3 linked regions of the Arabidopsis thaliana genome follow. The protein of the gene in region 1 interacts with the protein of each later gene in a pairwise test. Each region holds a gene or a part of one and is shown on either strand. Other genes may lie near its edges.

What was found.
Region 2: the proteins of ICK6 (region 1) and CYCA2;4 interact in a two-hybrid assay, tested with the Arabidopsis thaliana proteins (one large-scale study listed by BioGRID).
Region 3: the proteins of ICK6 (region 1) and CYCA3;4 interact in a protein complementation assay, tested with the Arabidopsis thaliana proteins (one large-scale study listed by BioGRID).

Annotation. Positions count from the first base shown.
Region 1 is NC_003076.8:19,792,340-19,796,096, reverse strand, and holds the start of ICK6 (inhibitor/interactor with cyclin-dependent kinase), read left to right. Parts: upstream 1-1,688; 5' UTR 1,689-1,750; coding exon 1,751-2,181; intron 2,182-2,363; coding exon 2,364-2,390; intron 2,391-3,146; coding exon 3,147-3,341; intron 3,342-3,419; coding exon 3,420-3,489; 3' UTR 3,490-3,757. UniProt on the Arabidopsis thaliana protein: Binds and inhibits CYCD2-1/CDKA-1 complex kinase activity. May target specifically CDKA-1.
Region 2 is NC_003070.9:30,211,617-30,215,373, forward strand, and holds the start of CYCA2;4 (Cyclin A2;4), read left to right. Parts: upstream 1-2,088; 5' UTR 2,089-2,220; intron 2,221-3,007; 5' UTR 3,008-3,077; coding exon 3,078-3,353; intron 3,354-3,449; coding exon 3,450-3,678; intron 3,679-3,757.
Region 3 is NC_003070.9:17,304,802-17,308,558, forward strand, and holds the start of CYCA3;4 (CYCLIN A3;4), read left to right. Parts: upstream 1-1,775; 5' UTR 1,776-1,950; coding exon 1,951-2,271; intron 2,272-2,543; coding exon 2,544-2,776; intron 2,777-2,870; coding exon 2,871-3,026; intron 3,027-3,126; coding exon 3,127-3,160; intron 3,161-3,250; coding exon 3,251-3,400; intron 3,401-3,482; coding exon 3,483-3,617; intron 3,618-3,702; coding exon 3,703-3,757. Other genes in the region: CYCA3;3 (Cyclin A3;3), read left to right, coding at 1-4, 103-237, 322-396.

The sequences.
Region 1 (3,757 bases):
ACATACATTTTGATTATATCCGCATAATAAATGTTGTTAGCAAACAAATGAGGATTAATATTGAAAATTGTCCCTAGATCAAAAATTTATTACTGAAATCATACCTTTCTTTGCATATACCACATAAAATGCCAATGAATCAAAATTCATCACAAGAAGCAATCATCACTAGTAGCTGATGTGTATATGTAGACGTCTCTTTAGGGTTTTTACAACAATCTCCATGGAATTTTCGATCAACATGTTTTATTAAATCATATTGATTTTTTATTATTTTATGTTTTAAGGTAAATAAGAAATTGTTTATTTTCTTCTTTGTAAACTATTGTCGGATCATATATTTATGTGATGTAGAAGCCATGTTATCGTGTACAATGCGTGTTAAAACTTAAAATTGTGAAACTTTTGTATGTAATAATGATTGATTGACTAATTGATTTTAAAAGATAGAAAATATATAAATTATGGGTCCACATGGTAATTTTATAAAGAAAAAATCCCGGATTTTTTCTATTTAATCGAGAAATATAGATAATGATATACAAAAATTGGTGATTTTTTGTGAAATGTCAGTTGACTAGAAATTTGAAACAATTCTTATCAATGTATTTTTAAAAATATCATGTTTAATATGTAAGTTTAATATTCATTAGTGTGCATAATGTAAGAATAATTACTAATTTACATAAATATTTTCTCTTATATGTGAAAGTATTTAACTACTGATTTATTGATATACAATGAAAAAGTATGGGCTATTAACTTTATATGATTTCAATAATTTTTATGATTAATATATTTGATAAAAATGATAAATAATAAATCATTATTTTAAAAGAAACATGTATATCCAACAAAAAAAGCCGTGTGTAATACGCGTTGGTTCAAAGGGTAATTTAACTATGGAAAATAGTCCTAGATTTATTTTTGTTAAATTGAGAAATAAAAATCATTATATACCAAAATTGTAAACTTAGCAATTTTTTGGTGCAATTTCCGTTGACTCGATTTTTTGGAAAAAGTCTGTCAATTTCAAAGAAAAAATATTATGTTTAAATACTTAAGTTGAATATTTATTCGTGTGCATAATAATAATTTATTTTTCGTATAAACATTTTTTATTCTATGTGAATGTATGTAACTAGTTGTTTGTTGTTACATGTTAAAAGTATGTACTATTAAGTTTATATGGTTTCAATAAAAAAAATTCAATACTTTTTATGATGAAATTATTTGATAAAATTTAAATAAATGAAAATTGTTTTTTTAACAACAAACCGATCATATTAATGAGAATTTATTTTAAAATAGAAAAGCCGTATGCAATACACGTTATATTTAATAGAAAATTCGTAGTCAAATGATGAATTTAATTAGCAGTTTAATTTTTAAGAAGTTAAAGATTTAGTCAAATGATGAATTTAAATTTATTCGACAACAAAAATTATCAATAAATCAAAAATGTAAAACTGACGATTATTCTATGAAAAGTGAAAACACAACGGAAAATACAAATAATAATGATGAGTTTGGGGTTTTATTTAAAAATAATAATAATAATAATATTGTTTTTGACAATTAGATAAAAAAGGTAAACTTTTTTTTTCTTCTCCTTTGTTTTATTTTAACCCCACAAAACTCGAAAACCTTTTTCCCATTTTCTCACTTTCCCTCTTCTTCTCCTCCCTCAAAGCTTTTCCCTCTCATTTTTCTCTTTCCGCTTTCAAGCTTCTTTTCCCTCTCTCAAAAAATGGGGAAATACATGAAGAAATCAAAGATAACTGGCGATATCAGCGTCATGGAAGTCTCTAAAGCAACAGCTCCAAGTCCAGGTGTTCGAACCAGAGCCGCTAAAACCCTAGCCTTGAAGCGGCTTAATTCCTCCGCCGCTGATTCAGCTCTACCTAACGACTCTTCTTGCTATCTTCAGCTCCGTAGCCGCCGTCTCGAGAAACCCTCTTCGCTGATTGAACCGAAACAGCCGCCGAGAGTTCACAGATCGGGAATTAAAGAGTCTGGTTCCAGGTCTCGCGTTGACTCGGTTAACTCGGTTCCTGTAGCTCAGAGCTCTAATGAAGATGAATGTTTTGACAATTTCGTGAGTGTCCAAGTTTCTTGTGGTGAAAACAGTCTCGGTTTTGAATCAAGACACAGGTTCGTTGTTTTTTTTTTTTTTTTTTTGTGCCCTAATGTTTTCTTATTACCAATTCGACTTTTGTGTTCTGTCTTATCCAATAATCTTAGTTTTGAGTCTTACATAGTTTTGAATCTTAGTTAGGTTTCTCTGAAACTTTTGTTGTTTGCTTCAAATCAATTTTTTTTTTTTTGGGGGATGAAAATAGTTTAGTACAAGAGAAAAATAGGTTTTTTATGTTTCCCTTATTGGTTTGGTTTTTGTTTATGAATTGACTCTCTTGTGATGTACTGAATTTTGTTATTACTACTTCTCCGTATAAGTCTCTTTTGGTGTTAGATTTACATTATATCTGATTTATTGCTGTATGTCCCATGTGTACTTCATTGCAGAGATTATCAATGAATGTGTCAAAGCTATTTTCGTTTTATATATGTATTTCATTATTTGTTACAAATTTGGTGAAACTCTGATCTGTTTTTGTGTATTTTAATTTGTTTAAGAACATGTTGATTCTCCTTGTTATTAGGCTAATGGCATAAGAAGTATTTGTACATTGGGTATACAATATTGGGATTTGGTTATTGGGGGTTTACTTAAACACATGGTTTTCGTTTTTACAAAAGTGGGTTGTTGTATAAAGGTCAGAAACTTTTAATATGTAAGATTATATGAGAATTGGGACTTTCCTCATAAGTGTAATGCAAGTACTGTGGTGTCATGTTCATGGGACCTAGTGGTTTTTGCATACTTGGGGAATACTTTTGTAGGATCCTCTGTTTTTTGGGGTAACCGTCCTGCTGCTAGTTGACAATGTGGTGATTGCCTTCTCTTTGTTATTTATTATCTTATGGGACCATATTACTTAGAAAGTCTCTAGCTTTTGTTGTTTACTTAAACCAAGCCTCTTTTTTATTCTGGATGTTTGGTTTTGGTTTGATTCTTGATTTGGTTAAGTGTCTTTGTGGTGATAATGTTATTGAAGTTATTTTATCTGTGTTTTTTTCTGCAGCACAAGGGAGAGCACGCCTTGTAACTTTGTTGAGGATATGGAGATCATGGTTACACCAGGGTCTAGCACGAGGTCGATGTGCAGAGCAACCAAAGAGTACACAAGGGAACAAGATAACGTGATCCCGACCACTAGTGAAATGGAGGAGTTCTTTGCATATGCAGAGCAGCAGCAACAGAGGCTATTCATGGAGAAGTAAGCTTATTCTTTATTTTATTTTTGTGTCATTACGAAGAGGGTGAACAACACTCATGTGTTTTCAATAATCTTCAGGTACAACTTCGACATTGTGAATGATATCCCCCTCAGCGGACGTTACGAATGGGTGCAAGTCAAACCATGAAGTTCAAAAGGAAACAGCTCCAAAAGACATGGTGTGAAGTTAGAGAATGTGATGGAGTTAACAGACTAACCAAACATCAGAAATCGTGTAATCTTAAGTAATAATGTGGTTAGAGAACAAGTTTGAGAGTAGCTTAGGGACCTTAAAACCTCACACCATTTGTACTACTAATCTTCTTCAGATGCTTAGTGAAATTTTCTCATCTGTTTCTTTCAAGTGTTTGTTTTTCTATCTATCTCTCATGTTTATTCAAAGCTATATGTAATGA
Region 2 (3,757 bases), on another chromosome or scaffold:
GTTTTTAAAATTTAATTTTCATCTTTATGCGTGTTGGTTTGAATCGTAGATCTAGTAGCTTTTTGGTCTTTGGATAAAACCGTAAAACGTTATTATTATTAGGTCCACGAAGACCTCTCGTTACGTCCTTCTCACACTATAACAGCTTTAACGCATTAGTCCAATACATATACAATAGAACATACTGTATATATCCTAAATTTGAAATCCATGAGCTTTGATTATGTAACTTCCCATGTGGTAAGTGAGACTATTGGTTATAGCTCCTCACTGTAGCTTTTGAATTACTCGTGCGTTGTATATAAATAATTATCCCAAGGATACTTTTGTTTGTTTGTGATGCTTTCTTCGATTATATCACTTAACATCAAAGTTTCATATGAAAGTTTTGACTTAATCAGTAGACTTTACTGCCCTTTCACGTACTACCGAACAAAATAGACTCAACTTTAACTTTAAAAGATTTGTCATTTTCATTTCAAATCTGATAGTTTTTCGAACTTCTTCTTTTTGTTTTTGTTAAAACTCGTAATTGAATTGCTTCAAACGCGAAACAACAGCAAAAATAAATAATTAAGTTTGAAAACAAAGATAATTCTGAATAAGAAAATATATCAAACAAAAAAATATTAAAAAAATAAAATAACTTCTGCTATATTTTGATAAAACGGCTATAGGTAAGATGTGAAATAATGTATAACATACAAGATTACCAAGGTCTTAAACATAACAAGACCTGAAATGGCAGATTCCACCACTTAATTATTTGTTCATGTCCTAAGTATCTTTTCTTTTTCTAAGTGGATCCTGCGGATCTAAGCATCAAAAGTAATTATTATCATATTTTCTTTTTGTTTTAAATTAAGTTTTTTTTAATTCTAAACTGATTATGTCAAGTACAATGAGATCTAATACAGTTTTCATAACTCCTAGTATTATTTAAAAAGAGTGTTGTATATAACGTTTAATCGCAGAAAAAACTCTCCAAGTTTTATTTCACGTAGATTTGGTCAAAGTAACCGATGAGAAAATTAGACATAAGTTTTGTTTTACACGAAATAAAGAAAGTGTTAGTATCACATAATGCATGTTATCTTTTTACTCAATAGTATACAAAGACCACGGGAGCGTCGTAAGTATGATTTTAAAACGGAGCAAATCCTATAGAAATAGAAACGGGTTCTTTAAGTTTCTACAAAATGTTTAAAAATTTGAAAGGATAGTGTAGAATTTATGGATGGATTCTTACTTAACATGCATGTGGAGTCCAAATAAGCATTAAGGAATATTAAAAGACACATAGAAACGTAAATATAAATATCAGAAGAGTGATTCTGGGGTAAACGTGCATTTGGTCTTTTTTTTTTTTTTTTTTTTACTACTAGTTAGTTTTTCTATTCAAAAGTTAAAAACTTTACCATTAAAAAAATAAATGGTGGAATCTTTCTTCAAATCTTCAAAATTTGAACAGAGTTTTTTGTAATTTAATCATTTTTATTTACCTTTGGATGAATAGCCACGCTGTTACTGTCTTTAAAAAATGCGCTGTTACTATCTATGTAAATAAATTATGACACATTTCTTGGAAAACGTAACTATTCCTCCTCTCTATCGTTCTTTTACTTTAATACAAAAAGTAAATATAAAAAAAACATTCGAACAGAGAGAAGAAAAACAAAATCTGCATCATTAATTACATACAACAGGTTAATGGAGAAATGGAAATGACACAGAACCCAAACTAGCAATGGGTGAAAATAAGGTAAATGATTAGTTACCAAAATCTAAAGAAAAATCTATGTTCAATCACGTACCAAATTGAAAAGATTAACCACAAATTACTTATCAAAAAAAATCCCAAGCAAACTAAACTGTAGTGTTAGCTCTTTCTTTATCCCCTTGTTTTATGGTCAAACAGTCAATGAGTTGCGTTATAAGCACATAAACAAACACTTCTTTCTCTAATAAAAATAAAGTTTCTATTTTTATATACAGAAAAGAAAAGAATATAAAACTTATATCTTTAAACCATTCTATATCCCGCTCACTCTCAGAGACAGTCCCTTTGCATAAAAGCGAATTGACTATAACCCATTTACTCTCTCGATCTGCCCAAGCTCCCATCTTTTCTGTTCGTAGAGCTCATTTCCCCAAATTAATAAAGAAAAAAAAAAAGACTTTTTTTCTTCTTCTTCTTCTTGAAGAAATTTCTGGAGCGTAGTAAGTTTCTATCTTAGTCTCTCTATCTCCATCTTCTCTGTTTTATTTTGCTTGTGAAATGTGATGATATTATTTTTATGCCGACCCTCTGTTCTTTTTTTTGAGGCGGTTCTCCTGGAGGGTTTCTTGAAACTTTATCTTGGTTTTGAAGCTTTTTTGGTTCATGGGTCACTCGGATTTTTCTTGGATTAAAGAAAATGTGACTTTGATTACTTTTTTTTTTAACGAACGGATCGATAGGTTTTTTTGGGAGATCTTGCAGCTTTAAATCATGGGTCTTTTCGTTATCCTCAGAAGAAATTTGATCTAGTCGTTCCTTTTCTTGTTCCTATTTCTTATGGATAAACATTTTTATATAAAAACCCATGAAAGAAATTTAGAAACTTTACTAATTTTTTCTTCAAATTTAATTATCTCCAAATTCTGCGCAAGTCGCTCCCGTCTTTGCTAAAATTGCTAAGACTTTTTCTTTCGAGCGTTGAGGGTTTTCTGCATTACAGTTTTCAAGTTTTTGTCAACAAGTAAATTGTAATTCACAAAGACTTGTTCTTTCAACTTGAATCTGACTTGAAACTTTGGAACTTGATTCGACGAACTTAAACAACAAGTACGTGTTGCAATTATTTGTCTAGTCATGAATGATCAGATAAACAATCCTCGTTTAGAATAAACAATTTCTCCAAACATCTTATATGCATTGGACTCTGCATAGATAAATATATATCTCTCTGTTTTGTTTAATCTTCATGCCATTGATCTTCGATTTCTCTTGACTTCAAATTCACAGATCGAGAGTTAATGTGGTGCTAAGTCCCAAACGTTAGAAAAGGGTTGGATCGTGTCAAAGGGTTTCAATCATGGGGAAGGAGAATGCTGTTTCTGGAAACTCTATACCAATCCATGGTCGCCCTGTAACTCGTGCTCTTGCCTCTGCTCTGCGTGCTTCTTCTAAGCTGATAACATCTTCTGAAGTGGCTGCTACAACACAGAACCAGGGACGGGTTCTTAGAGCAAAGAGTAAAAGAACAGCCTTGGATGAGAAGAAAGCCAATGCACCTAAGAAGCGAGCTGTTCTTAAGGATATCACTAATGTTACCTGCGAGAATTCTTACACAAGTTGCTTCAGTGTTGCGGTTGTTAACTACACAATGCAGCATTTTAGAATTGCTAAGTTTATATGACAAGAAGTATGTTTTTGCTGACAATTGTTGCTTCTTCTTTTTACTTAGGTGGAGAATATCAAGCAGATAAAGAAGGGACGACAGAGTTCTTCTTCTTCCAAGGTGGCATCTTCTTCGGCTACTTCACAAGTTACAGATGCAAAGGTAGAAGTTGTGTCAAATTCAGCAGGAGCAAGCTTGTCTGTTTTTACAGATACAAGCTTAGGCACAAACGAAACATCCTATAGCATTATCGCAAAGCCAAGCTCCAGATCGCCTCCAAGACCCTTTGGGACAGGTGAATTTTATAAATGGTCATTTACTGAAGCTTGAGTGGGCAATGTATAACATTTCTGATGCATCTTTATTCTTGCAAA
Region 3 (3,757 bases), on another chromosome or scaffold:
TTGGGTAAGAACTTTTGTCTCAATCTCTCTTTTTCAGGTTTATATGTTGAGTTAATCTTTTGAATGAGACACTAATAATCTATGGCTTGTAATGTAAAACAGAGTCAAATGTTGGAAGAATGCACAAAGTACAAAGCGGCTGATCTACAAGTGTGTGTGGAGATCATGCTTGACTTGTACCTGAGCAGAAGTGAAGGTGCTTCAAAAGCTGTTAGAGAGAAATACAAGCAACATAAGGTAATTGACATATTACAAATTATGAAATCATTTGATTTAATTAGTAGTATCATTTATACTTAAATGTTGCTTTTTATGGTACAGTTCCAATACGTTGCGGCAATTCCTGTCTACCAAGAGCTTCCGGTTACCTTTTGGGAGGATGTTGTTACCATTTGATCAGAACCAATCTTTCATTTCCCAATTGTTACTGAGCTCGATTACTAAGGGACACTGATCAACAGTTGAAGCTAGAGGAGTCATATGTTATATGTATCGAAGTGAAGCAGGAGCAAATAATTTGTGTTGTGAAGATGTATTGTGTTATTACTTGATTAACATTGTGGTGACAAATTAATGTGTTACTCTGGAAATTTATACGATTATGCAATATGATAAGAAGTATTTTATGTGACATGATTTTATTTGTTTAATCATTGAGCCTCCTATGACAAAATTTATAAGTTCCTAGAAGGCCAAAACTTTAGTAGTCAATAATTTACTTCAAATGGTATCGAAACCAGATGAATGGGAAGACATGACAAGATAAGCCTTTAGACTTGCTATGATCCTTGACAAAAACAAAACAAAACAGAAATTGTTCATTTAAGTCAATAAAAAGGCAATTTCTACAAGTGAACCCTTATTGGAAAGATTATTTGGTAGAATTGGTCTGGTCATTTCCAACATACGTTTATTAGATAATAACAGATAGGCGGATCATATAAGATAGAGTTGTCAAATCGGGGTGTCCATGTCCATTAGCCCAATCCAATAATGTCTATTTTGATATTGGACGAACATAGTCCGTATCCATTAACACCTTTGTCCAATCCAATAATGTCCATTTTAATATTCGATTTTTCCTCAAATCGATTTAACCTAACATTATAAGACTATTGGGCCGCCCATGTCCATCATATCTACTCTGCTAAAGTTCATATCCGTTAACGACTATAACCATTAAAGCCCGTTTTATAATGGCTTTATCCATGACTCGGTCCATTAAGTATTGGACGCAGGCAGCCCACGGGCCGCACACCCATTTTGACAACTCTAATATAAGATAAGTGTCCGTTGGTGTCAATTATTTTTGTTAAATTAATAGCTGAATTTGTCGAAAAAATTATATAGGAAATGGTGTTAAATGAATTCCTAGTTCAATGATTTTTTTTTATTATTGTTTAGACAAAATATTTTCATATGGTTTAGTGGATTTATTTTTCTGTATCCAAAAAAAAATCAAAAATGTAAAACTAAACCCAAAAAAAGTATAAAAAAAAAACAAATGCAAAACCGATTTTTTTTTAAATTTTTTAAAAGCATCTCACTTAATTCCGAATCTTAACCAAAACCGAAAAAAAAACAAATCAACTACTAATAATTTCCTTAATTAAAAGCATTCATTGATTGTTATTTTCATCTTTAATTAAGTGAATAAAACAATAATGATTGTCTAAATATAGGAGTGAAACTTTTTGAAGGGTAAAAAGGAGAAAACAGCCGCCAAATAAATGTGGAAATGAAATCTGCAAAAAAGCCCCAAATTTTGGATACTCAAAAGTCAAATCCCTAAAAATTTCGAAATCGGAAAATTTACACAGAGAAGCGCCATGACCTAAAAATCTCAAAACTTCCCCAACAAAAATGGCGCTTTTACTCAACCCATTTCCTTTTACCTACCTTGTACATTACCCCTTTTCTCAAATCTCACTTTCCCACTGAAATAACCCCATGGCGGAGAATCAGAACTGTGCGAGGATGACGAGAGCGGCGGCGAAACGAAAAGCGTCGTCCATGGCGTTAGACGAAAACCCAGTTAGTAAGAAGAGAGTTGTTCTCGGAGAGCTTCCGAATATGTCCAATGTCGTTGCTGTACCCAATCAAGAAAGAGAGACCCTTAAGGCTAAAACAAGTGTTAATACCTCGAAGAGGCAGATGAAGAAGGCTTTGATGATTCCTGAAGCTAGCGTACTAATCGAATCGAGATCTGTTGATCCTCAGATGTGTGAGCCTTTTGCTAGTGATATTTGTGCTTATCTCCGTGAAATGGAGGTAAAAAAAAAATCATCTTTAGTAGATTTCTTGATTCCATCATTTTTGATCTTAGTGATCTTATGGTATCAGTTTATGTTATTTTGGAATTGGTACAGTGTTGGACTTGATATTGATTAATGGGTTTGGTTAAAGTTGTGGATTTGATAAGTTTCTGAGATTTTGTCCAATCACAGCTTGCTCTTATGGTTATATGATATGTTTGGAGAAATTAGAGATGATTGATACTTTGGGACTAATGGTTATTGTTTTTGGATTGGTAAAATTTTCAGGGGAAGCCGAAACATAGACCACTACCTGATTATATTGAAAAGGTTCAGAGTGATTTAACTCCACACATGAGAGCGGTTTTGGTGGATTGGTTAGTGGAGGTTGCTGAGGAGTACAAGCTTGTTTCGGATACGCTTTATCTCACTATCTCCTATGTTGATAGATTCTTGTCTGTGAAGCCTATTAACAGGCAGAAGCTTCAGCTTGTGGGAGTTTCTGCAATGCTTATTGCGTCGTAAGCATCTTAATCCTCTTTGTTTATTGTTGTGTTGGTGTGAAGAGTCTTAGATGGTTGGCTTATGGAATCTTTATTTTTGCTTTTAAAAAAGTAGGAAATATGAAGAGATAGGTCCTCCTAAAGTTGAAGATTTTTGTTACATTACGGATAATACATTTACTAAACAAGAAGTGGTGTCGATGGAGGCGGATATACTTCTTGCTCTGCAGTTTGAATTAGGAAGCCCAACCATCAAAACATTCCTAAGGTTCGACTCTGAAACAGTCTGGTGTTTAAACTTATGATTTCATGGTTTTACTTGCCCTTGTTTTGATTGTTATTCTCTTTTTTATGTCGTGTTTGTGCAGACGGTTTACACGGGTTGCACAAGAAGATTTCAAAGTAAGCTCAAAATCGATGTACCTGTAAACTGTGGCATTTGCATCTCATAATTTCTATTGTTAAATCTTCTTTTTTTTCATGCCTTTGCAGGACTCACAATTGCAGATAGAGTTCCTTTGTTGCTATCTATCAGAATTGAGTATGTTAGATTACACCTGTGTGAAGTATTTGCCATCTCTTTTGTCTGCTTCAGCTGTATTTCTTGCCCGGTTCATCATCCGTCCAAAACAACATCCTTGGGTAAGCAAATTAAGAACCATGACAGGTTCTTATACAGAAAAAGTTCTTTATATTCTAAATCCTCTTCTGGTGATGCAAACAGAATCAAATGCTAGAAGAATACACAAAGTACAAAGCAGCTGATCTACAAGTGTGCGTGGGTATCATACATGACTTGTATCTAAGCAGAAGAGGAAACACTCTAGAAGCTGTTAGAAATAAGTACAAGCAACACAAGGTAAATTCAACAATTCAATGATGTAACTTTAAACTTGTGATATATTGCAACAAGAACATTCTAATATCTGATTCTCTTGGTACAGTACAAGTGCGTTGCGACCATGCCTGTTTCACCGGAGCTACCTCTTGCTTTCTTTG